Lytechinus pictus: one gene and its partners. The protein of the gene in region 3 binds, or shares a complex with, the protein of the main gene of each other region. Links are inferred from orthologs where the notes say so. Each region holds a gene or a part of one and is shown on either strand. Other genes may lie near its edges. The genes, in order: DNA primase small subunit-like, DNA primase large subunit-like and DNA polymerase alpha catalytic subunit-like.

What was found.
Region 1: DNA polymerase alpha catalytic subunit-like (region 3) and DNA primase small subunit-like share a complex: the UniProt entries of both Drosophila melanogaster proteins name them as parts of the alpha DNA polymerase complex. The link is inferred for Lytechinus pictus from reciprocal best matches to the Drosophila melanogaster genes PolA1 and Prim1.
Region 2: DNA polymerase alpha catalytic subunit-like (region 3) and DNA primase large subunit-like share a complex: the UniProt entries of both Drosophila melanogaster proteins name them as parts of the alpha DNA polymerase complex. The link is inferred for Lytechinus pictus from reciprocal best matches to the Drosophila melanogaster genes PolA1 and Prim2.

Annotation. Positions count from the first base shown.
Region 1 is NC_087245.1:19,760,646-19,771,374, forward strand, and holds the start of DNA primase small subunit-like, read right to left. Parts: upstream 4,809-10,729; 5' UTR 4,794-4,808; coding exon 4,617-4,793; intron 3,973-4,616; coding exon 3,866-3,972; intron 3,220-3,865; coding exon 3,146-3,219; intron 2,148-3,145; coding exon 2,011-2,147; intron 1,461-2,010; coding exon 1,402-1,460; intron 1-1,401. UniProt on the Drosophila melanogaster protein: Catalytic subunit of the DNA primase complex and component of the DNA polymerase alpha complex (also known as the alpha DNA polymerase-primase complex) which play an essential role in the initiation of DNA synthesis.
Region 2 is NC_087261.1:23,509,749-23,521,240, reverse strand, and holds the start of DNA primase large subunit-like, read right to left. Parts: upstream 4,257-11,492; 5' UTR 4,110-4,256; coding exon 3,956-4,109; intron 2,739-3,955; coding exon 2,629-2,738; intron 1,774-2,628; coding exon 1,694-1,773; intron 1,133-1,693; coding exon 1,012-1,132; intron 1-1,011. UniProt on the Drosophila melanogaster protein: Regulatory subunit of the DNA primase complex and component of the DNA polymerase alpha complex (also known as the alpha DNA polymerase-primase complex) which play an essential role in the initiation of DNA synthesis.
Region 3 is NC_087260.1:5,128,045-5,139,776, forward strand, and holds the start of DNA polymerase alpha catalytic subunit-like, read left to right. Parts: upstream 1-6,391; 5' UTR 6,392-6,653; coding exon 6,654-6,684; intron 6,685-11,635; coding exon 11,636-11,732. UniProt on the Drosophila melanogaster protein: Catalytic subunit of the DNA polymerase alpha complex (also known as the alpha DNA polymerase-primase complex) which plays an essential role in the initiation of DNA synthesis.

The DNA of each region.
Region 1 (10,729 bases), on a different chromosome or scaffold from region 3:
TTTGAGCTCGAGGGATTTGCGGTGCACGGCAGTGAGACAGTTCTTTGCTTATTGGATTACCAAATTAGGTCATGACCTGATAGAGCGTGCCGTCAGGTCAGAGTGTTAGCTGCCCTTTTTTTAAGACATGCTAAGCTGGTCTAGTCTAGTGGCTAACTAACCCTCCTTTTCGTTATTTCATACATTTTCTGATGAAAACTGAAGCCCCCGCACCCTGAATGCCCAGGTGGGTGTTTCATAAAGCTGTTCTTAAGTTAAGAGCGACTGGTGATCCTTACATATGGCGAATGGTATATTCATTAGCGATGGTTTTGCGCGTAAGAAAGGATCACCAGTCGTTCTTAAAGTCGCTCTTAACTTACGAACAGCTTTATGAAACGGCCCCCAGATCTCTTAATTTTTCCGGTGTACAATTGATTGAAAGTCTTTAAGATTTCAGAAGATGTAAAATTGGATTACAATGGATTGCAAGTTTCTTGCAAATACGGTACCTCTCTCTTGACCGATTGATCGAGAGAGATAAAAAATAAAAATAAATAAAAGCATAGCTAAGCTAGCCAAGCACTAGTAACACGAGCTGTTTACGTAAGTTCATGGGCGCCCTCGTGCACGTTTGTATTAGTTTACAAAGAATTGGAAGAAATACAAAAACAGAAGAAAATAACATGGAGATATACAAGAAAAAATTGACTGTATCATTATCCTGGTATTTCTTTCAATTTTGATTACTTTATAGACGAGGTCCCATAGAATTGAATATTGTAATTATGATTGTTGTGAGTTGCCGTGTCGACCGACCTGGACTGAAAAACAACATTGCCGATCTTTGCTGGGCAGCCTGGGCTAGCTAGCGCGCGCTGAGCTGCGGCTCCAATCAGAGGAGTTAATTGCGTAATGCTTTCAATTTCGAGATCAGAGCGGACCCATTTCGTGGTACAAAGTCACCCCAAAAAACATTTTCTCTCCGGAATAAAAGGCGAATTTGCAAATTGTAAGTTTGTAAGCTCTAGGCTAGGTTAGTAGTTGGCATATATTTTCCTGATTTGAGCCTGTATAAGTGTAGGGATTGCAGAAATAATATTTTTCATTTTTCAAAGATAAATTGACTTGCGGGTTAAAACCCGACGGGTCAGCGGGTACCGCTTGCAAATTATTGGATTATACGGGACTGTACGGTTCGGGTTTTCACTTGCGGGTTACAACATTAGCAGATATTATGTATGTAACTAGGCTTATTTCAACAAGTACCAAGAAAAGTTCAATTATAAAAGCACACTTTTGAAAAGGGCCCTAAATTAATGCTTGAATGAAGTCTGATAATAGAAGAAATCTACTTAGTCCACTGTTTTGTAACATGGTACAACTGAAACCACCTTTGTGAATATGAGACTAGAAACTCACTCTACAGATGGATGTAGCTGCTCTGGAAGACTGACTTTCTTCACCTGATTTTCTCCTCCCTGAACAAATAAACAGAAAATCAACTTTGTCCATAACTCAGCTCTAAATCTCCAATATTCTAATTTACAAATTGTCATTATCAAGCTGTTTCTAATCTAACTTCAAAGATCTTATACTCTGAATTGTTACCCTTTTAACCGTCAATACATTGAGCGGATGTGAGCTTCTAATTCAAATGATGGCCCTTATAATGCATCACATATTTAACCTACAAAACCATATAAAATCTGTATTATTCCAAATGAAGAATAAGTAAAAAAAGAAATGAACATTACTGTGGAGATAAATAGTTACAATACAAACATGATGGGCATCACATGAGTATCGACAGTTCTCGCTTAGAGAATAGTGATATATTATCACATGAAAAAAAAAAATGTGGTGTCATGGCTGGTCTGCATAATAAATTCCTCACAGAATTCATACTAAAATAATTGGAACCCTCCTACAGTCAGAATATTCATATACTATATAAAGCAATTAGATACTTATAATATCAACATTACCATATGCAAATTTATTCTCTATTTATAGGTAGCTAATGATTACCTTGACAATGCTGAGATACTCTGCGATTGCTGACCGTGCATTCTGAGATAGTTTTCTAGCAGCCTCATCGCACACCCAACAATGAACACCACGTCGCCCTGAGTAGACCCACAAACGATGCTCAAAACCAAAGTCATCTGCACAAATGATCAATTCAAAAGTTTTTGCTTGAATTTATCAGCTCATAATGTTATATTGTTGAATTATTCAAGGGCACAGCCATATTTCATCTGTTTGTAAATTTTATTAATTTAGTCATTTGTCAAATTCTTCAGTGTAGCACAATTTCTTGTCCAACCGTAGACAAATAAAATAGTCAATTAAGAATTAAAAACAGTTTGGATATGTACACAATCAAGTCAAATTACTTTTTTTTTCTTTTACTTTATTATTTATAATTATATTGCAATGAATCAATTGAAATGATAATTGCTGATGGATCCTTGTTACATTTGTTTCGCCAAATTAACTGTTGCCAGTATCAGTTGTATACTTTTAATTCATGTTTCTTTTAATATTCTTATACTGACCTGGATGGAGGTAAAGGGGTGAGGGAAGGAAGACCTGTGGGTCGTGGTAATTTAGTTAACCTTTTCCAAACCCAGGCAGCCCCTTTATCTCTATTCCAGGTCCTTTGTATTATGTCACGTATTTTATGTAATTTGTATTGTACTATAATTCATGTATTTTGAAATGCCGAATAAATAATAATAATAATAAATTGTAATCACTCCACCGGTCTGTCGGAGTTATAGTGCAATCTTGGGGTGAGAAATGGTAGTAAACACATACAGCATCATAATAGGCCGATATATTAAAGCAAGAATTTTGACAAGTACTGCATGGTACTCTTATGTCCAAAGTCCCACTTGGTTGATGATATTACATGGAACTTAAGAAATTTAGTTCTTAAACTGATAAAATGTATTTCATCAGTTCATCGATCTACCAGTCTGCAGAAAATGGCACTGGTGACTGGCAACATCAGTCGGTTCAACCCGGCCCTAGTTTCTTAATGCTCGATGCTTGTTCCAAGAATTTGGGATTTATTTCACTCAAAATATTAATGTTAGCTGTCATATTCTTGTGAAATATACATCCACATTGTATTTCAAAATATCTATAGAGGTCATACCATAGAGGGCACTGTCCACAATCTTTATTGCAATCGTCATCAGGGGCCAACATTTGGAGCATATATCTGCACCTCTGTAATGAGTAGACAATAATATTGAAATAAAGATAAAACAGTTGTAAAAGTTATTATATTCTTTGATACATATCAAATCTTCTCATCAAGCAACTAAAAGATAAATACCGGTATCTCCTACGTGCTTATGCCATTATGCCTCTGCAAATTTTCGTATACATCTGTATGTCAAATGATCATTGTAAACTTTTGACCTGAACATAGCAAAATAATCACTTATAGTGTTGCAAACTTGTTGTAATCATTTCACGATACTCTTTCCTCTTTTCCTATCATTTTATACCAACAACATTCATATAAATTCTTATAGAGAACTAGGATGCAAAAAGGGGAGCCGCCCACGAAACTAAAAGAAGGAATTTATTTACCGCCATTTTTGTAGAAATAATCTATTCTGTGGTGCACTAGAATTATCATCCCTGGTTTACCTCGAGCTGCCACTTCCAGGGTCAGTGCCAGATACCCATTCACGTCATCACGGTTGAGTGCAACACAATGTAAATAACAACACACCATGGTTGGGATTTGAATCCACAACCCTCTGTCTGAAAGTCACAACCACCAGACCACAACAAGCCTATGGGAGATAAATCAAAATATGCCCCTTATTTCAGGAGCAATCACTATACATTTTATTTCACTTACTGGCAACAACTCCTGACATCATCATAATCCGTCATATCAATATCAAAGACAAGCTCTTTCTCCTGGGCTTGAAATGCAGCCGCCTTTAACGTCCGATGATCTTTGGGCTAAAAAGTTCAGAAATGAAGGATATAAAGAGAGTATAATTCAAGGAATTAAAAAGAGGTCTCATCTGCAATCTTACCCCCCCCCTTATCAAATCTATTTTCCTGCCAATCCTGTCATGAAATAATCAGATGAATTGTTTTCCCTCAACACAATTATAGAATTCATAAACTGGTAGGTTGTGAAAAATGTTAGTGGTACAGTGGATTTGAAATAAAAAAGCAAGTCGAACATTGTGAAATAATGAGAACTAGTTGATAATCGAGTATGCTGAAAATCACCAAACAAATGATCTTCAATTACAGCTGAATATGCTGACATGTATGTTTCCACTAAATGTATTTCTGGTGGTTAAAAGTTGCAGTAAAATTTTTATCATTCCACAATCAAAATGATTTGCATATTTCTTTATATTATTTATTCAATATCATGCATTTACATTTGTTTAATGCCACTGAACTTCTGTAGTTTTGTATTAAATTCAATAAAAATCCCATGGAAGCACATTGTATGATACATGCACATTGAGATAATGGTATTCAAAATACTAGATTTATCTTCTATATCTTGATTAATTTTCACCACCACAAACATCTTTCTTTGTGAAAAGGTTAAACAGGTTTTAAAATGGCCCTACGTAAAATACCTTGTGCGTGAATACAGCGCCGATATCAATCTTGTATGGACATCTTTTCTGTATCTCTTTCTCCAATTCATTCTGGTCACTGAACGATTGGTAGCGGATGTAGATGTCGTTCTCAAGAGTGAAGGAAAACTCACGATTCAAAAAGTAGCTCTTTGGAACTGTATGGACAAATTGCATTAAGATTTAGGTTGAAACATTGAAAATGCAAAAGAGGAGGGAAATAATGCAATTGTCAATGGTCCGATCAGCTTAACAAACAAAGCATTGCATGGTTTAAATTGTCTGGCTGGCAATGGGCCAAACAATTGGACATAATAAATTTGTGTTTGCTAACTAATCTTATTTTTTCTTTTTAGCTGCATGTTCAACGATTCTTTCCAATATTATGCTCGTTCGTATCAAGTTCTATCGATGCGCCGTCGATGTTCGTCGACGGCTCTAACATTATACAGTAAACCTCGCGGACGGTAACTTGAGAACTAGTAGTCGACGATCACCCACAATCTGTAGAGGCGCACGGCCCAGATGGGAGACTCTCTCCAATATGGAAGACAATCTCCCATGTTGGAGACTTGCTTTGCAAAAGGACAAAAGAAACAACACCAACAAAAGCATGATTTTTTCCACCCAAAATTTTGTCTCACTGAGGTCAGAAGCCCATTTGTTTTGTGTGTGAATGACAACAAAAATCCTTATCAAAACAAAAGTAGACGGTGAATTTTTAAAGTAGACGTTGAAAAGGGGTAATTTTTCATGAGGAATCTGCTTATCACATTTTTATTTGCCGCCAAGGTAATCCTTTTGCAGCAAATGTAAACAAAGGAAGTTGGTCTCCCAAACTGGAGACTGTCTCTGAAATTGGATACCCAAATTCTTTACGAAAGTCTCTGATATTGGAGTAATCTCCCACATGGGAGACAGTCTCCCATATTAGCCTTGCGCCTCTACTGACCACCCATGGGTGCATCTCTGCCGCCGTGTACAGGAAAATTGAGGCACGGCGCATTCAACAATTCAACAAACTCCTGCAAATCTAATAAGAGGATTTACAGAATGAAATCCTCCTACGAAACTTACCAAACGATGTGAAGTCAATTCCTCCTAATATGGTGATTATCCCTCAAAAAGCATCATTTAAGCGTTAATTTTTCTTCTCATTGACCACAAAATACAAAGCAACCTTGCGAGTTGTCAAATTTTTCGTCTAATGAGCGAAAGAGGGCGCGCGATTTATCTTCGTATCAAAGACACTACAAGGGAAAGACTAGACACAAAAACTATCTTACACGTAAATCGATGCAAAGCGTTACGCGAAGTTGGCAAAGTGTCTGAGCTTTTTACTGTAAAGACTTTGGTGGAACGTTAATTGACAAACGAACGGTAGCACTTGCGAGGCTTTGTTCAAGGTACGTAGAATTTTCTATATTTTTTGTTTAATTTGTCATCGCTTTGAATATTTTCCAAAACGTATTATCGTCAGCAAAAATAATAAAAAAGTATGTTTTTTAAGTTATTGCATTTATTGGTGTCTCTATTATATCAAACAATCATTGGAATTGCGCATACCATGAATAAAAAATCTATTTAAAAAATACCGTCAAGCTGAATTAAGGTTGTGAATTGTATTAGCGCCACCAACGACCTTCCTTTTATTTCCGTCAAAGAGACATGCAAAGCAACTTTCCAGGCCGAGGTAAGCAATTTTGCTCTTTTTTTGCATGCTTTTTCCATGAATAAAATTTGTAAAATTGAAAATGGAACGCTTTTCACCAGAAAAAGCCCTGGTGAGTAGCGGAATGAGTTTCGGCTAACATTATTCGCGTTATGAAGCGATGTTAACCGGCAACTCTAAAATCCATACTGTAAACACGTACGTGGTGACGGTGGTGCGAGGTTCATATAAGTACATACTATAAACCTCGCAATACGTGTGAGTGTCTACTGACATTAGTCAACACACCCCACCAGTTCAACATTCGATCGAAGGAGCGGATGAGATTGAAATTCGGCAAATCAGGCCCATATTTCCATCAGAAAATATATCAATTGTTAATGCAAAACTGTTATATGATATTTTAAGCATTTTCTGTCATTTTAGAGATAAATAAGGTAAAACTAAAAATTAAACTATCAAGTAGGCCCCTAAACTAAAAAAGTAAAACTAAAAAGTTGGATTTTTTCGCCTTGTCTTTGCAATCTTGTTCTATGGGCATAATCGTGATATAGTCCCCAAATCCAAAAATGGGGATTATTAGAATCACACCTACCAGAACGCATGAAAATCACTTCCTTTCTCCAGAACACAGTCCCCAACTCTCTCACAGCTCGAGAACTTGCGAAATGATAACACACACAAATGAAACACACACTTGGATTCTCTCCCTATTATATACTTGTGATACAGTCCCCACTCTACGGGAAATCAAGTTCACTTTGCACGCAGTGGGGATAGCTCCAACAGTATATATACTCGTGATACCGTCCCCTCACAACATAAAATCGTGCTCGTTCGACAAGGGGATGGGGACAGTTTCCCAGTGCAACGTGACAAGGAGGACTCATTCAAAACCTTCGGGAATTATTATTATTATTGTCATTATCATATTATATTATCATTATTATCATTTTATCATTATATTATTATTGTTATTTAATCATAATTATAATTATTATTGTTATTATCATTATTAATATTATTGTTATTTAATCATAATTATCATTATTATTATTGCTATTATCATTATTATTATTATTATTAATATCATTATTATTTTTACTATCATCATCATATATCATTATTTTTTTATTATTTTTGTTGTTATTATTATTATTATAATGATAATGATAATATCATAAATTATTATATTATCATTATTATTATTATTCTTTATCATTGAAAATGTGCCCCTTCCATCCATTCTGTTCCTTGTATTTCATTTAATTCCTTCAAATGAAATCACTGTAGACTCATAATAACGTTTGGGTATTAATTATTATCATAATTATTATCATCATTGGCATCATTTTCATTTTTGTTGTCGTTATTATTGAAAGAGTCACCCCAAAACATTAAAGTAATCAATACAAATATGTGACGGAAATGAAAATAAAGTAATGATAACAACAATAGTATAATGATGGTGATGATGATAATAAAGATTAATAACAATAATGATGTTGATAATAATTATGATAAAGGTTAATATAATGTTAATAATAGAGAATAATAACAATAATAATAATTATTGTAAAATAATCAATAAAAGATAAATAATGTTAACAAAAAATAAGGATAACAATATTAGGTAAATAATAAATAAATACCATAAAAAATAATGACAATAATGATGATAATAATTACGATAATACCCAAAAGTTATGAATGAGTCTATACAGTGATTTAATTTGAAGGAATTAAATGAAATACAAGGAACGGACTGGATTGAAGGGGCACATTTCCAATGATAAAGAATAATAATGATAATAATAATATAATAATTTATTATACTATTATCACTGTTATGATGATAATAATAACAACAACAATAAAGAATAATATTTATTATGATGATAGTAATAATAATAAAATAAATAATAATAATGATAATTATGATTAAATAACAATAATAATAATTATGATAAAATAATAATAATGATAAAATGATAATATAATATGATGATGACAATAATAATAATAATAATTCCCGAAGGTTTTGAATGAGTCTTCCTTGTCACGTTGCACTGGGAAACTGTCCCCATCCCCTTGTCGAACGAGCACGATTTTATGTTGTGAGGGGACGGTATCACGAGTATATACTGTTGGAGCTATCCCCACTGCGTGCAAAGTGAACTGTGTATCCCATAGCGCGGGGACTGTATCACGAGTATACTATACTGTTGAAACTGTCCCCACCGCCGTGAAAATCAAACTTGTTTTCCCGCAGAGTGGGGACTGTATCACGAGTATATAATAGGGAGAGAACCAAAGTGTAAGTGTGTTTCATTTGTGTGTGTTATCATTTCGCAAGTTCTCGAGCTGTGCGAATCTAATAATCCCCATTTTTGGATTTGGGGACGGCCAAATTCGCTATTGTGCCCAAGCGCCATTAAAACTGCTCAGCCCAGTGAAAATTCTTATCGCTAGACGTGCGTAAGAGCATGTGCGACCGGTGTCACACATGACCGCACAATAACAAAGCTCAGTCAGCGGGATATCGGCGTTCAGTGAAGTGGCGTGTTAATGGGTATTTCAGCTGTGCGAGAGAGGGGCGGGGATTAGGGATTGGGGGGGGGTGAAGGGGCACTAAAATATATGAAATCGGCGGGTTTTCAATAAAATACTATGTGCATCGTATTTTCGTTTTCTTTTTGTGTTTTCTGTATGATACATGGTTGGTAGATTTATTCCTCATTCATTCATTCCATCCAATTTATTCATCATACTGTGCATTTCATTTCATATTATATTATATTACGTAACACTGTTTTACTAACCTTATTTTTTCTGTCCATGATGGGGATCGAACTCGAACCTTCTGATCTGCAGTCCAGCATCGTAGTCAGCATGCCACATGAGATGAGCTGACAGCCGAAACTGGTTTAGCGCTCAAGTCGTACGGAGGTTTCCCCGGCGGCAGTTATAGCAGGCCAGGGAATCAACGATCAGTGATTTAATTCATTAGAAAATATATATATTGGTACCAATAATTCCAAACAGGATTTTGTTATTTTTTTCACTTCGTTTATATTATCGCTATGTATTTTAACACGATGTGCGTTTACTATTGAGTATATTGAGTCACCTGAAATAACACCCGGAACATTTCTCTGTTTAGGCAACAGGGGGCCTAAACATGGAACAAAAAACTCACGCAACTAGTTTGCACTTGATGTTCGTAGTCGGCGTGTAGGCCTAAAACTTTATTTTAACATATATATAGCTTCCTTTTTTTCATTCTAAACTCCCAAGTTATCCCCTCTACAGCAAACCTCATGTCGATATCGGTCCGCCAATATACGATCTTCTCGGATATTTTCAAATAAATGTGGCATTTTGGTAGGCACGGCAAAATTGAAAAAAAAAGTATGCACAAGAAATTGTAAATAATTTCATATACTCACTTTTGCGTTATCCTTCTTGGTTATATATAAATGCCCCGTTATATTGAATTTTAACCTCCTTCACTCCTTCCGCCAAAATATTCCAAGTCAACAAATTTCCTCATTTTTTTTTCGCCCGGCAAGCTCATCAATCATCTCTCTCAAACCTTTCTTTCTTCACTCTAATCCTCTCAAACCATCCTCACTCTAATCCTCTGCGAAAAGTTGCGCCCTCCATGTCAATCGTGCCCCACTGACATCAAGATGTGTCTTGCCGCATCTCGCACATAATGCATAAACTTTTATGCATGATTTTATATATTCATGAACTTTCACTTCATGCTGTATTTTTATGTTGTTTCCCAATTTTCCTCCTTCGCAATATTGCTTTATTCCGTAATTGTTAAACTCTATATAGGGCATTTTATTATGTCCAACATTTTTGCGTATCTTTTCTACTCTTCCATCGTCACCCTATCATAAATGGATTTTGTCAATGTTAGCTTATTTTTATTTTCCTCAAGAAAGAGCAAGACGAACTTTTAATGGTACAGATGTATATTTCAAAGGTGATTAGCTGCAAATATACGGAATAATGGAAAAACATATGTTAAAACGCAATTTGAATTTTTTGATGGGCAAATTGATTAAGGTGCTAGTATAGTGACAAACTTCACTAAATACGGGATAAAGCTTATAGAGAAAACTTGGTGAGCATAGGGACGAATCAACCGAGATTCTAATAATTACTATTGACCGGAGGGCGGGAAAAGTGGTGTTCTGGGTTTGAAATGTCTGGCTGGGCGGGGGGTAGAGCGAAGGAAAAGTATATAAGGCAACAAAAATGGGAGGCATATTCGGGTGTTAGTATAAAATCTTCAACAAAATACGTAAAAACCGATATAGTAAAGTTGAAACGCAATAATATATATATTTTTTTTTGGGGGGGGGGCATAATTATTTAGGTGCTAATAAAGAGTGACAATTAAGCTTCACCAAAATACGGAATAAAG
Region 2 (11,492 bases), on a different chromosome or scaffold from region 3:
TATTCAACTCCAGTTCTTGAAAAAAATACCGATCCCAGCATTTCTAATTATTCCTCGTCTTCTTCAATTCTACTTTTCCCTTGATCTCTTTCATTTATGAGACTTTTTTTTGCTTTTATAATCATTCTGCCTTCAGCACTGAGGTGGCAGGAATAAGGAGTTTCTCTACCCCCTCCCCCTTTCTCTTCCTTCACCTTTCCCCTCCATCTCTTTCATTTACATGTACAAGACTTTTGTCTGCCTTCAGCATTGAGTTGGTAAGAATATGTGTGATTAAAGGTTTCTCTTATACCTCCTTCCCCTCTTCCCCCTCCCCTAGCTCGCTGTCGTTTACAAGACTATTGTGTTTTTACAATCCCTCTGCCTTTAGCATTTAGTTGGCAAGAATATGTGTGCTTAACCCTTTGAACTCTGAATTAATTGGGACGGTCGTGACCCTCACCTTGAATTATTTGGGCACTATCAGCAAAAATGAAAGAACATATGACGTTTGAAATGAGCCTTGCTATGTCAGCGGCACCTCACTCTGCTGGTCCCGGCCTGGCCCGGCTGATGTTTTATAGCTACCCGTACCAACTATAATCTCAAATTTTGTCTCAAAATTATTGCTTTGACAGAAGTAAATTCAAAAGTAGCTTATGCACGGTCCGTATACACATCACCATGTATCATCGCACGAATCTCCTTGGTAGGGCAGTATATTTTGGTCATTTTTACGGTAAAACTTTATAAATGGAAGCCATTCATCCATGAAATTATAAACTGAAGTTATCGACAAAATATCTGTATTAAATATTAATTGATATCTAAAAACAATTGCTTTCCAATCACACGACTTGAAGCCTGTATTCCGGGTATATGCGCGTTCACGGTGAAGCCGGTATTCCGGCTTTTCGGGTTCAAAGGGTTAAGGTGCTTCTCTAAACCCCTACCTCTTTCCCCTCCCACTCCTTAAAATCATTTCAATCAATGGATATGATGTACAAGAAAATTAATTAATGCTCTACTCACTGGAGTGTAATGAAGTTTGTTCTCAGCCAGAAATTGCGTGACAGATTCACTGTATTCCCTCAGGAATCGATACCTGAACAGATCAAGCTCTTGCTGGATGAACCATCGCCTGAGGTCTTCCCTATAAAGCACCATTAGAAGAAACAAAAAGGTACATGTAGAGCCTAAAAAAATATATGAAATGTGAAACACAACTCATCGGTTCTTTTGACTAACATCTCGTATCTTATCAAAACAATTGTTATCTTTAAATGGTAGGTTAGTGATGATTATTTAAACAGATTTAATTAAGAAGTTACACGTAGTTAATGCAAAAAGAATGTGTATTGCACATCCAATGTTAAATCTATACCAGTATCACAATTATGACATAGAAATAAAACCAATTTTTATCCTAAAATGACACCATTCTGAGCCACATTTGTATGCATGGAGATGGACATATTCTAAGTTTACTTAATCTACATGAACTATAATTGAGATTTGTCCAATAGGGCCTATATTGTTTACGATGTAAAGAAAATTTAACAAAATGTTTTTACATTCCCACAACTATACTAAAGATACTATTTTTAACCCTCAAAGTCTTTATAAATCTTCCAAAGAGCCGAGATAGATTAGATATGGGCTCAGCTAGTCTACAATGGGTTAAACAAAGAGTAACCCTTTGTATTCAACTTACGATCTGCAGTAAGCCAACCTCAAGATGAAATGGGAGATCCGATCATCTCTCTTGTGAGCTGCCAAGTCTTCCCCACTCATCTGTCATGGTAGAATATAAAAAAAGAAGTTACAATGGAAAATATTTATTTATTAAACATTGATGCAATATTTGTTTGGTTGTTTGTGGCTTGGGTTCCAGAGCATAACTGTGAGAAAGTTGTTGCATCATCAACAGTCAGCAGCAACATGTTAGCATCATGATTGCGGTCACCATAGGCCTATAGTCTCTTTCCTGCATCATCATCACACCCACCCTACCATCGTAAACCCTTGACTGCTATCATCGCCTTCCCCATCTTCATAATCCCTTATTGCTATCATCATCATCATCATCATCATCATCATCATCATCATCACCATCATCATCATCATCACTGTCACCATCATCATCATCATCATCGTCACCATCATCATTATCACCACTATCGTCATTATCATTTTCATCCTTATCATCATCAGTCATCATCATCATCTTTATCATCTCCATCATCACTGTCAGAATCCTCATTATTATCATTATAAATCATCATCACCATCATCATCCCTATCATAATCATAGTAAAAATATCATTATGACTCAGTTTATGCATCACAGTATCCCCCCTCTCCACCCCCTCATCCTCTTCATCTCCATACTCATCAATTCATCATCATCATCATCATCATCCCTATCATAATCATAGTTAAAATATCATTATGACTCAGTTCATGCATTACAGGATCCCCCCTTCTCTCTCTGTGAATGCTATCCAAACCCTCCCCATCATCTCCGTCATCATCATCATCATCATCACCATCAGCACCATCATCATCATTGAAATATTACTAGATTCATGAAAATCAGGCCTCTCTCTCTCTCTGGAACTATTAAACAGTTGTGAATATTTACAATACCTTCTTGTGGGCAATGGGCATCAATTTTTTTAGTTCTTTGTCCATTCTTTCGTTATACTCCTCACTTCCTTTGACATGCCGGATACCAACAGACTCAACATGCTTCAGAACTAAAAAAACAAAATTAAAGGGAAATCACTCAACAATAATAATTATTTTTTTTTACTTTTCTTATGTTATAGTGAGATCTAGACCTGACTTGTTAATATAACTATTTTGTGAAAAATAAGTTGAACTTTAAAATACCTTTCTTATTATTTTTCATCTGATTTTGATGAAATTTTCAGCATTTTTTTAAATGCTTGTTGGAGTTTCCTCTAGATTTAAATCAATATTTTTCTTGTGTGGACTAGACCTTTAACATTTGGGCTAAACAGTTAACGTTAGGCAGTTGTGAGAATAGTACATTCACCCCCCCCCCAAAAAAAAAAAAATTGACCTGGAGTCTGGACCCTAACACATTCGATTTTAACTTCCTTCATATCATGTTCTTGCACTCTTCGTCCCGGGGGGGGGGGGGGGGGGGGTTACTCAGCATGCCATTGTTTGTATGTACATGTATGTGCCACGCTCGACCCTTTTTTTCAGCCTAAATTTCTGCTCCAGAGCATCATCAATTCAGGCAGCCATTGAGACACCCATGGGTGCATTACTGCTGCTGTGTACAGGAAAATTGAAGGCATGCAAAATTTCAACAAACTCCCGCGAATTTCAGAAGAGGATTTATAAAATCAAGTCCTACGAAACTTACCGAACGATGTGAAGTCAATTCCCCCTAATATGATATAGCCTATCCCTCAATCATTTAAGCGTTGATTTTTCTTCTCGTTGACAAAATACGGAGTTTGCTTCTATTTCCCAAATTTTTTGTCTAATTAGCTAAAGAGGGCGTGCGATTTATCTTCATATCAAAGACACTACAAGTACAAATAGTACAACTTGTACAAGTAGAGGGAAAGACTAGGCACAAAAACTATTTTACACGTAAATCGATGCAAAGCGTTACGCGAAGTCGGCAAAGTGTCCAGTCTTTTTACTGTAAAGACTTTGGTGAAACATTATGATTTATTGACAAACGAAGGGTAGCTCTTGCGGGCTTCATTCAAATTTCAAGGTCCGTAGAATTTTCTCTTTTTTTTGTTTAATTTGTCATCGCTTTCAATATTTTCCAAAAAGTATTAATTATCGTCAGCAAAAATAATATAAAAAGTAGGCCCCTATGTTTTTTAAGTTATTGCATTTATTGGTGTCTCTATTTTATCAAACAATCATGGGAATTGCGCGTACATTGCGCTTGAAAACTGCAAGCAAGAAATCGCCGACTTACCTGCCAATCTTCGTTTAGCAAGATCCTCAAATTCACTGAGGGAAATGTTCTCAATTGGTGGAATCCGATAAAACAGCAAATGGGGTTCTTTGGTTTTGTCAATGAACGACTCCTTCTTGATCCTCTTCTTCGTGGTGTTCTCTGAGAATTCCATGTTAATGATAAATCTGGATGAAATACCTCTCTGTCTTCAGAAGAAATATTAAAAGTGGTCCGCGCCACACGCAGTGAATTCGAATCAATCGAAAAAGATTGTAATGTTGTGCCGAAAGTTTCCCGTACTAAATTTCCCGCGTTTGCCAAAATCAACCGCGAGAGGGTGTTCTCCACTTCCGCAAACACAAATCCAAGATGGCAGCGCCCATGAGCCTCAAGATATGTGCGAGATGGATTTTAAAATCAGGGAACATTTCAAGATTTCAAGCATTGCGTGCACCATTTTTAGAATTTAGATACTTCTCATCGATTCCGTCCTGTAAATCATTGGTTTACGATAAATACGGAGATCCAGTAAAAGTGTTAAAGTGAGTTCACCTGATATTTTGTCCCCTAGCGTTAAGCCCAGTCCCACACATTGTAATCTAAGTTAGAGTGTCTACGTGGGAAATATAGGCCCGTATTCTGAAGCCTTCTTCTTCTTCTGAAACAGTACAGTCCACCGCCTGGTGTATTGTCGTACTTAAGTTATGTTTAAACGCACCCATGGGTGTATATTACTGCCGTCGTGTACAGGTAAATTGAAGGCACAGCGCATGCAAAATTGCAACAAACTCCCGCGAATTTCACAAGAGCTCGACAGAGTAGAGGAGACCGTCGATTTATAAAATAAAGTCATACGAGAAGAAACTTACTGAACGATTAGACCAAAAGCTTCAGTCTCTGTATTTTGGTTGTTCCGCTGAACTAGTTTACGTTGGCTCCACTCACCATACATAGACTGAAGGGGATGGGGCCCCGTACCTACAGCCAACGTATAGTGAACTAGCGTTTTATAGATCGCGATTTAAAACTGTTTTTTAAGCAAAATTGAAAGTTTCATGGTTTCCATTATCAGGGAAATATAAATAACTTAAGTAATTGCATACCTTGGGCTAACCCAGAGAGCTCCAGCCCGCGTAGCGGGCTGGAGCCCAGACGCGCAGTGTACAAACGGGCATTCAGGTGAGAGTACCGTGAAGTTTGGTCAATATCATTTACATAATACATAATTTAAACAGAAATTAAGCACTTACCACGATTGTATGGATGATAGTCTAACGAGTGGCAGTTTCCTGACATCGAGGCACAGACTGGAACCTCAAAAAACGATCAGTTCTGTCGCGGTGGCTCTCCTTCTTTCAAAATTCATAGCAAAATGGCCGTTCGAGAGGGTGTAGGGCGCATGCGCGAATTTGACAAAGTCTATATGCGCTAGTGCTATACTAGCCTCGGTCTCGATCGGCCATTTTGTGTTGAATTCTGAAAGAGGAGAGCTACCGCGACAGAACTGATCGTTTTTTGAGGTTCCAGTCTGTGCCTCGATGTCAGGAAACTGCCACTCGTTAGACTATCATCCATACAATCGTGGTAAGTGCTTAATTTCTGTTTAAATTATGTATTATGTAAATGATATTGACCAAACTTCACGGTACTCTCACCTGAATGCCCGTTTGTACACTGCGCGTCTGGGCTCCAGCCCGCTACGCGGGCTGGAGCTCTCTGGGTTAACCTTGGGCCGGAGTTATTGAAAAAAATCCTCTGGATGATCATGATGATTGAGAAATCTGTCATCTACAGTAGAGGCGCTGGTCAGAAAATTGGGATCGTCCCAGTTTACAGGGACTGTCTCAGTTTATAAGGATTTCTTCACACAAGAAATCTAGGAAAGTTCATTCACCTGTCAAGTGCCGACACCAATCAAGCGTGCTAGTCAATGTAAACATATCGGCCCGTATTCTGATAGCAGGTTTAACTTAACCCTAGTCTAAAGTTAACCCTGGTTTAACTAAACCTCCTCTAAACCTCACCTCTGGTCTAAGTGTAGTTTAATTATTTTGGTATTCTGATAGCCAGGTTTAACTAAACCTGGGCTAAACCCGGGTTTAAATTCTGTTTGGAAATAATAATCCTCTTTTAACCAAGACTAGCACCTTTGTGGTAAATTACTGCTGCAGGGATGACTGCAACGAAGTTGAAAAAATGTCACTAAAGTTGTTTTTTCTTAAAAATTTGGATTTTATGGAAACTAATTACAACTATTGTAGTGAAAGAAAAACATTCATCACCCATATATGGTAAGAAATTTTCTTTCAGATTATCTTTATATTTTTTAATTACTAAAACATTTCAATCCCAAACCGAGTGACCTGCATAGTTTTTTGTGTATCAGTCCCATTTATTGCTTTTCACGTTTGTCAAAATCTAAATTGACTAGATTCCCCTCACCCACTCTAGACTAGAGTCTAGACTCTAGTCCTAGATCTAAAACAATAAGTTAAATGGTCGACAATATTATTCTAACTTTAAGTAAGAGAAATTTTTTGTAACTTTTGAGAGTAGTCTTGGGTCTAACATTAGGCCTATAGGCCCTACTCAGTACTAGCCTAGGCCAACAATTGTTTGGACTCCTTTTTTTGGAGGAGAATTGAAGTTTTGAACATTGTTTTGACTTTTTTACTTTCCTGAAGCAAAACGTACCGTCTATTTAGTGGAGCAACCGAGACTGAAGCTACATATTGGTCTAGGCTAAGAACAACATTCAGGACTTAGACTGGCTTAGCCTGCCCTTGGGACAGGGATAGATATAGATTGCTTTTCTAACCTTACTTAGATCTAGTGGAATAGATCTGATTTGTCTTCTTACATACATGTAGACAAAAAGCTTTGAACAGTCTCTGCATTGGTTGTTCCGCTGAACTATGACAGTCTACGTTGGCCTCTCTCACCAAGGCAATGTGATATGACAGTAAAATGTCAGAATTTTTAAAATAAATCCCGTTAGATCTGACTATCGCTGCATTGCTTGCCAAGTAACTAGGCCTGGCAAAATTTAGAATTAGTCCTAGACATCTCTCTACTCCTGTTTAGGTCCATATCTGTTTCTTTGAAGTTTTTTTTATTTAAACATTTTGGGGGACTTGTTTAGGTTTCCAGGTCCAGGACTAGAAAACAGGCCTAAACCTAGACCAACGGCTCAGTCTTGACTAGACTAGGCCTGACCTAGATTTATGTAAGAATTTAGATCCAGGCCTAAGGTTAGTCTGTGCTATCTATTCATTCTAGATTCTATTTCTAGCCTAGCCGGTAGCCCTAATGTTAGGACTGGCTGATCTAGTCTACTGTATGATCTGGAATCTCTAACGCTGGCCTAGGCTAGATCTAGACCTAGAACTAGATCTATAACAATCTAGGTCTACATGTAATATGTCTAGATCTAGAGATTTGTAGACTCTCAACATGCTCAATGTAGATTCCTAAATCAAAAAGTAGTAAATGTAGGCTAGTCTACAGTAGATCTAATGTAAGGCCTTTAAAGGAAGTAACGTTAGGCTAGAGATCTAACGTTGGATTATTTCTATTGCTAGATCTAAAGGATCTAGATCTAGGCCTAGATCTAAAGCTAGGGACTGTAGTTCGAGATCTAGAGGTCTAGCACTCCCTTAAAACTAGAACTAAGCCTACAGCTACATGTAGTTTTCTGTGTAGCCAAACAACAGTTAGCATTGACCATTGTCTTAATCTTATTTTGGTGTGTGTATAGTTACCATACAAACACACATTTTGATGAATGAGAAAATGTGTCTTGCAGATTATTTTACCTCAAGACTAATGTGTGTGCTAAATTTTATGAGCATTTGAAAAAAGATGAAGTTCGAACTACCAAATTTTCACCTTATTTTCGTTATTTAATATGTTGTTACCATGGCAACACGATTTCTAATACAGACAAAAATATATCTTAGACATCTTCACCTCAACATGAATGTATGTGCCAAATTTTTAAGAGAATTGACCAGTTGGAAACTGATAAAGTAGTTCAAATCACTTGATTTTCATCTAACTTTGATATTTGATTTGTTACCATGGCAACATTATTTTTTTACAAAGTCATAAAATATATTTTGCACATCTTTACATCAAGACTAATGTTTGTGCCACATTTCATGAGAATTGGTTGAAACTGAGAAAATAGTTGGAATTGAAAATTTTTTAAATGGTTTTTGCCATAATATACCGTTACCATGGCAACACAATTTCCGACACATGCAAAAAATGTGTCTTGCAAATCTTCATCTCAAGACTTATGTATGTGCCAAATATCATGAGAAATGGTTTAAAAATTATAAAGTAATTAAATTTTTCACCTCATTTTCGATATTTAATATGTTGTTACCATGGCAACGCAATTATATACTTTAGGCATAGCATATGTTTTGCACATCTTCACAATAAGACTAATGTATGTGCCAAATTTCATGAGAATTGGTTAAAAACTGAGGAAGTAGTATTTTTGCCATAATATACCGTTACCATGGCAACACAATTTCCGACACATTAAAAAATGTGTCTTGCACATCTTTACCTCATAATCAATGAGTGAGCCAACTTTCTTGAGAATTGGTAGAAAACTGATGAAAGTATTTTAAACGGCAAAATTTTGGCCATAATATACTGTTGCCATGGCAACACAATCTCCAAAAAAGGAAAAAAAAACTTCTTACACCTCCTTACCTTGAGAACAATGTGTGTTCCAAATTTCATGAGAATCGGTTAAAAACTGAGGAAGTAGCTTGTAATGCAATATAGGCATAAATTCTAAAAAAATTGTTGGCCATGATTTGTTGGATTTAAACCAGGCTTAAACTACCCCCTGCGCGAGTTTAACTTTTTGAGGATTTATTACCACACTTAGACCAGGGTTAACTTAAACCTTGCTATCGGAATACGAAACTTAAACCTAGGTTTAAATATGGCAGTTTATTACCACACTTAGACTAGGGTTAAGTTAAACCACGCTATCAGAATACGGGCCATCGGGTTTCATAACAAGATTATGGGAAGACAGTAAGTCATGAAAAATAGACGGTGAACTGGGGGGAATTGAGGTCACTGAATCTATTTTTAGCACTCTCAATTCCCGTAATTGCTCTCTTTGTCCCGTAGGGGGAAGTGAAAAAAAAACGTCCCCATAAACAAGGACAGTCTCAATTTATCAAGACATGATTTGTCTTGGTTTATGAGGATATCCTTGTTTTCCGGGACAATCCCAATTTTTGGACCAGCGCCTCTAGACATTTTCACCTGACCTGACGGTTTTTCTTGCAAGTTGCCATCTTGAATGACGTCATTATCGTTATTAACTTAATGTCTCGAATCGATATATCGCGATTATAACTAGTACTAGTACTAGTATAACTAGTATCGTTTATCTTCGGTTTCGTTCGCATATGGAGCAGATCGTATAATATCGAAAGCAATATCGATATCACATTCGTGATTGTTGACGCCCTCTCCGTTCGTTTGTAAATATTTTATAGTTTGGCTGCCATTTTGACCATTTTTATCGTGTTCAACCCAATTAAACATCGGTAAAGTATAATTTTCATGCCTTTTTCATCTATATCGTTTAAAGTATTTAAATATTGGAATATCAAGTTTTAAAAGTTTGTTGTTTATACATCCTTAGATTGTAAATTCGATGTGTAAAATTACATCAAACTTTGGACTGTGAATTGACAAAAGGGAGGGAATGAGAACACATGCGAGCCCACACGTACACCCTACCGTCGGTAAATGGGGATTACAGTAAAATGTCAGAAATTGTTGAATAAATCCCCAGAAACGACGGTTATTCCTGTCTACTGAACGATGTGAAGTCAATTCCCCCTAATATGATGAATATCCCTCAAACAGTAGAGGCGCACGGCCAATATGGGAGACTCTCACTCTCTCCAATAGGGGAGACAATCTCCCACATGTCAATTTGTCATTGGAGACTTGCTTTGCAAAAGGACAAAAGAAACAACACCAACAAAAGCATGATTTTTTCCACCCAAAATTTTGTCTCACTGCGGTCAGAAGCCCTTTTTTTTTTTTATACCGCATCTACTGGAAAAATACAGTTGTTCCTGCAGTCAAGTTTCCAGGTCTATCTTGTTGTTTTCCTAGCTTGGATAAGTTCGAAAACTGAGTCTGTGCTATTTGTGCAATGTGCTGTGCCAATGTATTGAAATGAAAAAGGCACTATTCCCATGCGTGAACATAATTTCACGCAGACCAGAGGAGCGTTTCATGAAAGGACTTGTCGGACGTTTTATCCGACAAGTCCCATTTTATCCGACAGATACCATAGTAACAGTACATCTCAGCCAATCAACATCAGAGAAAGATGTCAGATCTGACAACTTGTCGGATGAAAATGTTGATGAAACACTCCCCATAACTTGTCTAACTTTGTCTTGAAGCCATTGATTGTTGATGCTGTGACTACCTCAGTAGGCAAAGAGTTCCAGTCATTAACCACTCTAACACTGAAGGTGTTTTGTCTCACTGCCAGTCTACTCCTTTTAAAAAATAGCTTGTATTTTTTTTAAGGTAAGGGTGGCCACGTGTTGCTTGAGTGGTAGCTGATGTTAAGAATAGGTCTCTATTCACATCATCAATGCCATGATTGTGTGTGATTGACCTTTTTCACGCGCACACTGTGACAAAGAAAGGCCCCACAACAAATATGCTTTCTGAGTAGGCCTACAATTTGTCTTAACAATAAAGGCCTACTATATAGCTGGTTGCATTAAAAAAAAAAATTTAACGATTAGAAATCATGTCCCTTTTCTCTAGCTTTTTTTTTAAACCTTCCTTCTCATTCAACTATTCATCTCATCTCATTTTCTCTGATTTTCCTCTTCTGTCCATCTCTCTTATCCTCCCTTTTCTCCATCCCCTTCTATTTTTTCCATTTCTACTTTCATGCCCCTCTCTCTCTTATTTCTCCCCTTTATATCATCTCGATCTCCCTCTTTATAATTTTTCCTTTCTGTTTGGCTTAATTCTTTCTGATTTTCCTCTTCTTTCTCTCTCTCTCTCTTACCTTCCCTTTCTATCTATCCCCTTATATCTCTCTTTTATTTCCCCATCTCCCTTATATCGAGCCCTCTTTTATCTCCCTCTCGTCTCGCCTTTCTCTCCTCACCTCTTTCTCATTCCTCGTCATTTCCCCCCTTTCTCTCCCTCTCTCTTTCTCTTTGATCTTCCTCTTCTTTCTATCTCTTCTCGTTGATCGTCTGTTTCTTTTTTTTTTCTCTTTCCATCTTTACCATTTTGCCTTTCTCATTTCAACTTTCTCTATATAAATTTTGAGTAAGTATTCCCTTCCCTCCCTCTTATACTGTTCAATCACACATTCAGGGTGAAAAATTGAATAGAAGTTTGAGGACAAGAAGGTTGTTACTTTTAATGAGCCTTCAAAGTTGGACCTTCGTGTGCTCAGCCATGAAATATCTACTAAGTACAGTGTATATAAAAATGGGCACAATAGAATTTGAATTCTTATGAAATT
Region 3 (11,732 bases):
GGGGTGTTTGATCAACATCAGGATATTTTTCATTTTTTCATCACCTTGATTCCTGGTACACTCATTTTCTAGGATCTGATGTAGTTCTTCAACATTACATTTTGATAGGTATTGCTTGTTTGGGGATGGATTAATCAATTGCTGCAATTTGATTTGATTTGTAAGAAAAAATTTCTTGCTTGTCTTTGATGTCTTCTTGGAGAGAACTTTGTCAATTGATGTGGTGCCTTCCATTACACCTTCCTCCAATACATGCTCTATCACTTCTTCAATTTTCTCTCTGTGTTTCTTCTCCTTTTCTGTCAGTGAAAGTCTGTTTGCTTCATTTTTCTCTTTTACTGCTTTTGATACATGTGATGAGAGAATTATATCATGTTTACGTACCTCCTTCCCTTTCTTCATTGCTGAAGTAATTGTTTTCTTTTTCTCTTCTGCAGATTTACCTTCCAACCAATCCCTTGTGTCATTGGAGGAAAACATTACCTTGGCTTCCATCTTTCCTACTGAAATGTTTGGTGCTCTGTGTAAGAGAGAGTCTGCCTTTGCAAACTGACGTTCACCAGATATGTTTGTAGATGAACACGTAGCAGCAGCTTCACATAGATCCTGTCCTGGTTCCCAAAAGACTCCCCCTTGCAATTGGTCTTCTAGTTGTCTCTTGCACACAATGACACATTCGTGCATCATTTTCCCCAAGATAGGACATAGAGGAGCTTTTTTGTCATCATTCATGTCGTCAATGAATGGTATAGCTGCACATTCTCCAAAGGCACATCTATTGGTAGAGAGCATCAGTTGTGGATCCATCTCCCAACTCGACATACAATTGACTGCTTCCTGGTATGCAGTGTTAATTCCAAGAATGTTGTCTGCTGTACCTACCATCTTCATCCATGGCTCCGTAATCTTGAGTGAAATAAGAGCTAAACAACAAATACAAGCCTGAAGGTGGGGATCTTGAAGATACTGGTACAAAGCTGATTGTAAATCATTTGTGGGCTTCTGAACTTTCTGAAAGTAATTCAAAATAAATGGCATCATCGCAACTAAGCACTTGGCAGATTTAAATAAAATGTTAAATCGATTTCCTACCCATCTTGGGAATGTTGTCGCTGGACAACCAGCAGTCTTCAGAAAGGATGTCAGAGCAATGCCACATCCAGTTGCCTCATTATGGAATAAATCAGCTACCTTTCTGATGAGGCATGCGGTATTACTCTCCCCTCTCTTCTTGAAAAGTCTATGATATTTATCTTGGCTTTCACTCTCCTTTAATGCATTATCGCATGCCTTGCCAAGGGTGTCCAGAGGGTGCATCCCACATCTGAAGCTGTTGATATGAGATTCCCCTTTCAGGTCAGAAAGTTTCCTGTCTATTGCTGTATTTACACTCGCTCGATCCGTCATCGTATTTGCTATGCCGTCAAGCAGTAAAGGATTCACATCCGATAGAGATTCGTTGATAGCACTGACATATTCGTCGCTTGTTCCTCCAGCTTGCTGACGTAATCCTACCAAGTACGTTTTCTCTTTAGAAGCTAGTTCGCATTCTACTAGGTGACCAACTCGCGATTTTGTTGTCCCATCATACTTTAATGTTGTATTGCTTTTTGACACAAAATGCTCCTCAATCTGGTCCCGACAAATTGCCTTCATCTCAGAAGCAAAGCGTCCTTGAGTTTGCCGAGACGGTAGCTCATTTGTGAAGGTCACATCACATAGAGTTTCTGCAACAACTCTAATTGCTTCACTTACTTTGCCTTCTGCGACTCCTAGGTTCTGTAATTTATTTATAAAAGTGGGGAGGGATACAGTAATAATTTTGCATGCAATCTTTATCAGAATGATGTGACATTTGCTCTTGTGGCAATTGATCCAAGGACAGTTGGTTACGGTTAGGGTTTGACAGAAGTTTGTTTAAAACTATGTTAGGAAAATCAATGTGTAGTGTTAGATTTGGGGTTAGCATATTTGGGCTTTGCCTTTTTTGCCAGAACAATTATAATGAGACTTTTTGTTATTAAAACAGTATTAAACTTTGTAAAAATTACTTAAACTTAAGAAATTTAGTACATGCTTATAGATTACTGAGTCAAACTTAAAATTATCTAAAATGGTTTAAATATAGGAAGAAATAAAACATGCTCTAGAAATAAATTCATTGTGAACAATAATGATGAATGAAATCCTTGAAACCAGTTGAACTGTAGAAGACTGGAAGTTTTGGATAAATAATAAGCTATGCTGTTATCCACATACACATGCTCATCATAACTTTTTTGCCCAATTGTTATCAAGGTTTCAAAGATCCTATTCTTGAATTATTCTGTTTGCATTTGAGTGAACTTCAATCCCTTTTAACATCCTTGCTATTAATGAAAAATGTAAAAGCAATAATCGCTACATTTTTATAACAATTGAAGTAGGTAATTTTTATATCATAGACCAGGGCAACTTTGCATACAAGCTAATATAATGGTAATTTTGCCATCCCATGGTAATGCTAATCACCAACCAATCAAAATCAAAGATTCCAGACAAGTTACCCCGGAATGGCAAAGTTTACCATATTACAATATTCTATGAAATTGGGTCTTTGTGATCAGTTTCCAGTACTGTATCACAGGAAACAATCATGTATCTGATCAATTACCTGTTTTACATATTAAAAATGTCACAAGGGGAGTTTTGAAATTACTATTATGAACATTATATGACTTAATTCCTATCACTTTATTTTTTATAAATCAACTTGATTCAAAGCCAACCTGTAAATAGTAGGATGCTTCTCTTATCTGAGGGGTGTAGGACTGACCAATCTTGGTTTGGATTTGTTGAGGATGATGGGACTTGTTTTTTTCATCTTGAAGATTTTCAACAGTTTCTTTGAGTTGTTCAATCTCCTGTTGCTTCTGGGCGACCTTGATTTTTTCTTGCTCTGTGTATTTCTTTTGAATTCTTTGACGTCTTCTCTTTTCTTCTTGCAATTGTGCTCGAAGTCTCGTAATTTCAATTGTCTTCCGTTTTTCTTCACTCTTTGTCATTTGGTAGTTTATCCTCCATTCCCTTTTAGATTGTTTAAGTCGCTTTATTGTTTCGGTAATCCGTTTTCTTCCACCTCTTACACTGCCAAATATAGATGTGAAAGACTGAACCTTTTCTTTATTCTTTTTCAGTTCCTTCTCAAGGTGCTTCACTTTCTTCTTGTAAGTCATTACTTCCCTCTCTGTTTTTTGTACTATGTCCTTGAATCTCTCAAGTTCTTTTCCTAAATTTTCTACTTGATCATTTGAATAGACTTTTCTCTTTTTAGGACTAGCAGCATCGTGATCTTGGTCTACTTTAGCATTCTTTGGAGGTTGAACAATTTTTCCTGGGGGCTCGAAAGGTTCTTGCAGATAGTTGACCTTCACATCATTTTGGTCTTTAGTTTGTTTTGTTTTGTTTAGTTTCATGTACCTTCCATAGATCCTTGTTAACTTGGTCTGAAGGGCCTTTAAAGAACATTCAGAGTCATATTTGTTTTGAACTATTTCATGAAATTGTGACCATGTAATTCCCTCTCCTCTTGTGAGTTTTGGCAGTAGATCAATGACAACTCCATTAGTAATCCTATCAGCTGGTAGCTGGAGCAGATGATCCACCTCTTCTGACATTTTGGCCATGATCTTATATTAAAGCCAAATAATAATATCTGGAAGGCAAAATAATGATGCAACCTTGCTGAAAAAACCCTTTAAACAATTGAATAATAGTTATTACAATTCCATAATTCAGATTTTCGACCACAGTTCATATATGAAGAAAAATTCCTGAGAACGTAAGTGCCATTAAGATAAAAATCATGACACCTCATGATAAAATACTGGAAGAAAAATTACTCCCCCCCTCCCCTTTCCCAGTGCAGTGCAGAAAAAAATATGTGCAATAATGGTGCTGAAATTGTTAGGAGTACATGACACAGAAATCATTTTTTTCCAAGAATTTTGCGAGAACAAAACATGAAAAATAGAACGAAAAATTCAAACAAAACAGAACTCTAAATAATAAAAAAATAATAGATAAGAATCTTATGTTTCTTTCTTGAATATTTAAATTTCTCAAGCTAGTCATATGCTAGCTGTAATCCAGCATAGAGATCTTGTCATGTGGCATTAGCCAGATATGGTCGTTCATGGCTTCATCCTTGGCCTGGACTGATGTTCACAATCGGCCTGGAAATTTTCTCGCCAGTCGCCAGACATGCGGATGATGAGTTGATAATGGACTCGATTTAGCGTTTTCAGGAATAGATTACGAAACCTGAAGGAAACAAAAATAATAATAAAAGAAAATAAATCAAATCATAGTAAAAAAGATTGTCAATAAGGGCTTTGAAAATAAAAATACATGTGATTTTCATAGAGATTTAAAGGAAAAAAATCATAATATAGAACGGAGCACCTCCCCCCCCCCCCCTTTCACCAATTTATTTCTGAAAAAAAATGTAGCATTTTACAATTTATTAGTTTACAAATAGAAACACTGAGTGTGTAAAATAATCGATTTCCCCAAGTCTATAATAGATCAAATATTCATAAAAGGAAAAAAAATTTAAAAAATCATACCATATTCCGATATCAATACATGATCTAAAAATAAAAAATAAACTGAAGACAGTGAAAACAAGTAAAAACAAAAGTCTGAGAATAAGATGTAAATCCATCATGATTCATAATGAACAGGAAATAATAGGTTGTGTGCTTTGTTATGCATCTAGTTCATTGTAATATAACAAATTTTTAAAGTGAATAAAATGTTAAATTGGTCCATGACTAACTAATGAAGAAAATAATATTACCTACGTAATAAGTGAGTGCAAATGTGCACACTGAAAGCGATACGCGGGACTGTGCAGGGCAGATGAAGCAGACGCCAAATCCCCCCCGCGAAATTCAAGAGCGCGAAGGCGCTAAATCGCGACAATTTTGCCTGCAACAGGCCTGTGCATCAAGCTGAATCGCTTTCATCCGCTAAGTTCTTCCCACGTAATTTCGGTGTTAAATTAAAGCTTAGAATTTCATCTTCATCATGAATCATGATGCATCAGTGTGCAAGTAATATAATTATTCATAAAAGTCAAGATTTCTACAAAATCAGGCAAATTTGGTACTTACAAGTGATTTTCCAGGCCTCTCGATCGTCGTTCGTTGGTTCGCTGGAAGTGCCGATGAGTCAGATGGTAAGTCTATACGTCACACAGCCATATGGTGTCTAAATCATTTTTCTAGCATTCGATATATACATGTATGAGTGGATTGAAGAACGCCATGCCATGGCTCTGGAGCTCAATTTCGCTTCGTCACGCTGCCGCCGCCGGTCGCAATTTTTGTACAGCGAACGGAGCTCGCGAAAAAGCGCCCTCTTGTGATGCGTGAGCGTGCCTATCTAGGCTCTACTCTACTCTCTATTTTTTAGTCTAGACTCTAGTCTCTAGTACTCTACTGACTCGTACTCGTTTGACCTTCATCCATATAATCGTGGTAAGTGCATAATTTCTGTTTTCACAATTCATTTGGAGAAATATTTAGACCATAAATCACGCTAGTCCTGTGAGTATGGTCAAATACACGGTAAGCCCCTGGGCTCCCGCCCGCTGCGCGGGGGGGAGTTCCCTGGGTTACCCCTCTGCCGGCTGCCTCGGCCCGGCTCTGCCTCTGCACTGCCTGGACCTCTGCTTCTGGCTCTGGCAGGATTTCCGGCGAGGAAAAGCATTAGTAATTCCATGAATAATTGTAAATGATTTTTCCTGAATCAGCACTAGGGAAGGGTTCGGGACATAAACCCCCGGAATATACTTGAATAAACCTAAAAAGAAAGCAAAACGTATTTTATCAACTTAAAAAATATTTACCCGAGCCTGGTCCTTGCTCCGGATCCGAGCTGAGGGTGCGGGTACGTGGATTAAGTTGAGGCCAATTTTAATTGTTTTAATTCATTTAAAAACTTATTTTTTTTTAAATATGCATATAAAATCATCAACTAAAAGGTAAAAATATATGATTTGAATATATTTATTTTATTTATCTACACTTAGGAATTGAAACAAAATAATAACTCAAAACTTTTAAAATATATTAATTATAAATTTTAGAGAGATTGTTGTGGACGAGTTCACTTATTATGAATGGAAAGCTGATAAAGAATACTTTATTCAAATCTATATTCCCAATTCTATTTTACATAAGCTTATGATAAAACCTTAAAATAATAATAAAATATGTATCCTTGAATTTTTCTGATACATTTAAACCATTTTAAGGATTTCGTGTAAATTAGTTTTAGATTTGCAATATGATATTTACCCATCTAACAAAATGGACCAGTCTAAATCAAATTTCGCGCGGAGTTTGTTTTTCTGGCGCGCCATTGTTCATGTCGATCCCCAAGTACGGGGACGGAAGCGCCGGTACGGTGAGCGAAGTGGCACTATTTTATCACGGCAGTCCGTCCGCCTGATCTTTCGACGGTGCCCGGTCTACAGTACAGGCTTGTGTTTCCTCGGCTTCACTTGGGCCTGGGCAGATTCGATGCTTCACGACTGACACAATTTACCCACACGCTCCCCTTACCTGGCTGCTGATTTGCTGCTGATTTAGATCTAGATCCAGAGGATGGCACCAGTGATGGATGACAGAGAAAATGGTAAAAAAAGTTAGGATGGGGGTCGAGTGTCCGGACACTTTAAAAATTTTGAAGCCTCCTTTTTTGTCATTGACGCTCTCCGTTCTCACTAACAAGTAACATAACGTTACCGTCCTTAGTAAAACTAACTAGTAGTAACTCATCTAGTTTTCTGGAAACTAGTTAAACATGTATTGTACTAGACAGCTGGCAGCCGTCTGTTTCGAGGAGTTTTTTAACATTTTTTTTTTTTTAATTTCTCCTCATACTGTCATACACAGACGTGAGACGGCTCGCTAGCGTGCAGCCACCATTAGGGGACTTGCAATGCAAAATCCCCCCGTCGGGGCTCTTCAATTTTTGTCTTTAATGAGTACAAATTTTGAAAATTCACGCGACCAAAATGCAAATTAACATTCCCTCTTGGCATCAATTGCCAAAAAACGGAGAAAAATCAAGTTAAAAGGAACAAAAATAGTGACTTACCTCGGCTATCGCGCAAATTCACTTCCCCGTTTTATCCGATCTTAAGTACATAAACATATGGCCATTGAGTCCCCTGTACAGATCGCGCTAGAACTTCGGTCTCTGTATTTGGTGGGTGAAGCCAACGGAGTTCAGCTGAACAACCAACATAACAGAGACCGAAGCTTTTGGTCTAGTATTGTACATGAATGGTTGAAGTGGTCTTTCAATGATTTAAACCACTTCACGTCTTTAATAGGTTAGTTACATGAAATGTAATTGTATTTGTAAGTGGTTTTGACAACCACTTTTAATCGGGTGATCAAAAATGTGACTTCTCGAAACTAGACACAAGTCGCGTGGTGAGAAGTTGATATAAATAATGGCAAAGTACAAAAAAGTACTTGAACGTTTTGAAAATTTCGATTTCTTCATATTGTGGATCTTGGCCCTCTCTACCGTGTTTCAAGTTCAAGAATGGTCTGTAATTTAGCAAAAGGGATAGGCCCTAGATCAAGTCAAAGACAAAGCCAAGTGAAAGTGCAGAAAAACAGTTTCTCTGCGAGTAGATCTAGATCTATTTTTTTTTTTGGTTTATAAAACGAGCGAGGTTTGGGAAAGCTTAATTTAGACGTCAATTTTCCCTCTGCATAAAGCTCCGCCCCCTAGCGACACATGCATTCACTAATTATTGGTCATTCATCACGTGATTTCGGCAATGAAATTACGCAATTTATGACGTGTGCTTAAGTTCAATTCATGATCACTGCACTGTTCGGACGATTCAAACCAAAAAATTGAATTTGAATAAAGTAATTGAGCAAGAAATCCATGATCAAGGGTGGTACTTAAAAGCGTACATGTTTTGGAAAGAGGTGCCAGGCGTGTATCAAGATAAAACGAGCGCCTGCTGGACAAAAGAGTTAAACGCTAAGAGGTTTGAAAGAAGTTTTAATGGTTTGATAATCATGACTCATTAAGATGATACAAAAGCGAGGACAAAAGGCGATCGATGGACCTGACCCTCCCCTCATCCTCCGGGTCTGAGAAAGACAGAACAAAGCCTAAGGTCAGCGAATTCTATAGGGATGGGCCAGATCAGCATGGGTCGGGGATAGTGAGGATCGAGGGATAAATAGAGCAACCACTAAAAGAAGGTGAAAGAAGGCAGTTGACTTTTGGGTTTAAATTTGATTGCAAGTTAAAGTCTAGAAGCTAGAAGGGCACTGGAAAAAGAGCATTATTCTGATCACGCTCGGGCTCTTTCACTTCGCTCCAGTGTTTTGAATAAAACACCAGATGACACTTTGAAAAGAGAGATCAATTTTAAAACTGAGCTACAAAATGTGTTTTTAAAGTGAATACGAGTATTTTGGTAAGAGTTCCATATGCACCCCCCACTAAAATTGAAAATAAAAACATGGAGAAGGTTCAGAATAATATATCTAGCCCTAATATCGAACATACATGTATATGATGGGGAAGTGAAAATACATACCAAAATATGGCTTTATTCCGTCAAATTTCGAGCAAGATCTTGTGCGTGTAATTGTCCATAGACATCGGTTTATTTAGTCAGTAAAGGGTCTGCGAGTCAAGACTAGTCGAACTATCGGCTGATAATCGTAAAAATACCCCTTCCGGTATCAGCGCTTCTTGCTAGCATAGCGGGAAAGGTCTTGACTGCAGATCAAACGAGGTGAGTTCGAGTCCCAACTAAGGTAAGCAACAGTAAAAAAAATGATAGAAAAATCTGAAGTGAACGAACCGGAAGTCTCAACAATCTTTTGTTATTTTTGGTGGGGGGTGCATATGGAACTCTTTCCAGTATTTTCAGTGAAAAAAAGAAAAAGAAAGGGGCGGCAGATCCAGGGTGAGAACACGATAAAAAACAAATTTTACACAAAATATTCATGCGTAGAATCCACAAAAAACAATTGATTTGTCAGTACTAATTCTTTAAAACATTGATTCTTTAAAATTTTGATTTAATACTTATAACTTTATTTTTAAATTGGACAAAAAAGATTTAAAAAAACAAGAAGTAAAATGCAGAGAAGTAGAAAGATGACATGACAAAAATTATATTGTGTTTTGATGGAAAGTGTAGTTTGACCAACTCAAATACTCTTGTAAAAACTTGGTTTAATGAAGATGCATTACAGGGCGGCTCACCAGCTCATCTTAAAGAAGGTGTGAAAAAATGTTTGAAAAAAGGAAGAGTTAAGAAAATAGGGGAAAACGTCCGATTGGTCAATAATCGTGACCATTGTGCCTATGGTTCTCACTGCAAGGATGATAAACTAAAAGAAAATGCATGAACTGTCAGATCATAATATTGATCGTGACTCCAGGTATAAAGTCATCGACAAAGTGTGGGATAGGCCTCTTAAAGGATTAGATTAGATACATGTAAATCAAACTCGGAACATTTCTTTTTTACCATGTCTTAAAGAACTTATTCTAAACAAAATGCGCTTTATCCAGATTACACTCTTTTAAACATATGAGAGCAAAACCGGGAGCAAATCTCGCCTTCATGAATGTCCATGCGAAGCTATATACCTCCTTTGTCCGGTCCCACACTCCCCCTGATTCCCTGAAAGTACGTATTACACAATACCAAAATAACTATCGCGAGCCGCGGCGGGAAGGTTATCGGAGCTGGGAAAAAACTTGGATTTCTCCCATGAAAAACATTATAAATCATCTCTCAAATGATTAAAATCTGAAGTTTTAGATAACTAGATATCCTATGCACTGTTGCTAAGGCCGTTTTCATAATGAAATCGACATTAACTGCTGGAAAAAGCATCACAAGGGCAAAATGGAAGTCCAACTTTAGAAGCGTTTTCCTCAAAGAAATACTTTTCCAGAGCCCTCATTTTCTCGTGTATAAAAGACCTGGATTCCCCCAGTTCTCCGTCTTCCAATAATCTTGTTATGAAACCTGATATGTTTACATTGACTAGCGCACTCAATTGTTGTCGGCACTTGACAGGTGAATGAACTTTCCTAGATTTCTTGTGTGGATAAATCTTTGAAAACTGAGACAGTACCTGTAAACTGGGACGATCCCAATTTGCTGACCGGCACTTCTACTGGTTTTGATCCTCCGCTCTTGGGAGATTAGCAGTACATCGCACTCGATAGCATTGATGAGTTGATCATCTTCTATGATGGGGTGATTTGCGCACGTAGCAGGTCTAGCAATCTAGATCTTGACTCTGCAATGTACTTTTGAAAATTAGCATGAAGTTGATATTCAATCAAAAATATCTCGCAATTTATACAAAGTGAACCAAAATCATTAATACCAAAAGCGAGATCGAAGAGTCAAAATCGCTCGACAGAATTATAAAATAGATAGTATCACGATCTCAATATGGCAATTGACCAGTGCGTGCTCAGCTGAAAAAGTGTCATGAAAAAGTGTGACCTTATTTTGCACACAATAGTTTTGCATTGCCTTAAAAAAGAAGTAACGCAGACAAAGGTAAGATTATCGTATCAGATGGAGGTTAAAGACACCCTTATGATTTCAAGAACCCTTTTGGTCTGGCAGTGACAGGTGAATGGCCAGTGGTAACAAATTGCTGATGGCAAACTATAAATGCGTTTGCACGTTAGATGAGAGTTGGCCCTTAGGCCTATTAACATGTGGTACTGGTCCAAACTGAGCGTCATCCTAGTTTTCTAAGTCTTGCCTCAGCCTTGGTCTTGGATCATATTCAATTGTCTTGAGACTAACGTTAGACAGTATAGAGAGTAAGATGCACACGTACAGCAGATATTGAGACTCTCCAATATGAAACTGGGAGACAATCCCCAATATTTGAGACTTGATTTGCAAAAAGATTTAAAAAAAAACAACACCACCAAGAAGGTAATTATTCCATACCAAAATTTTGTCTCGCTGCTTTCTGAAGCCCATTTGATTTGTGTGTGGATGATATCAAGATAATAAAAAAAAAAAAAGTGATATAGACAGTAAATTTTTGAAGTAGAAATAACGTTCGGTTATTTGGCTAAGAAGAATTATTTTTTCATAAAAAATACATTTTTGTTTGCCTGAAGAGTAGTTAGACAGTCATTGTTTTGTTTTATTACTTTTTGTTTTGATATCAAGTACATGTAAATTTCAAGAATGTTGTTACAGAAGATTATACAAAGGTATGCGGTACAGTGTGAATTCTATCGTTTAAACATAATGTCCAGTTGATTGAGCAGTCAGGGGGGGATGACATCAGAGGTCATTTGGTAATTATAATATGGGTTGATGTTACATACAGAATTTATAAGAACATTTTTTTTTTTACAGGACCATGGGCTTCGGAGTAGAGGGTTATTTTTTATATTTGGGTGAGGGGGATTCTACAATGGTTCCCCCAGCCCCCCATTAACAAAGGATAATCATCTGCGCCGATGCCCATTAACAGGACCTAGTTATTTTCCTTAGAAAAATCTGAATTTAATTTCTGAATATTCTGCGTATTATCCCTTACAGATCAAGATGCTGGTTTATCAAGACGTTCCAGACGTGAGGTCGGCAAAAAGAAGGCAGGGCGCATGTCGGCTCTGGAAAAACTTAAAAATGCCAAGCA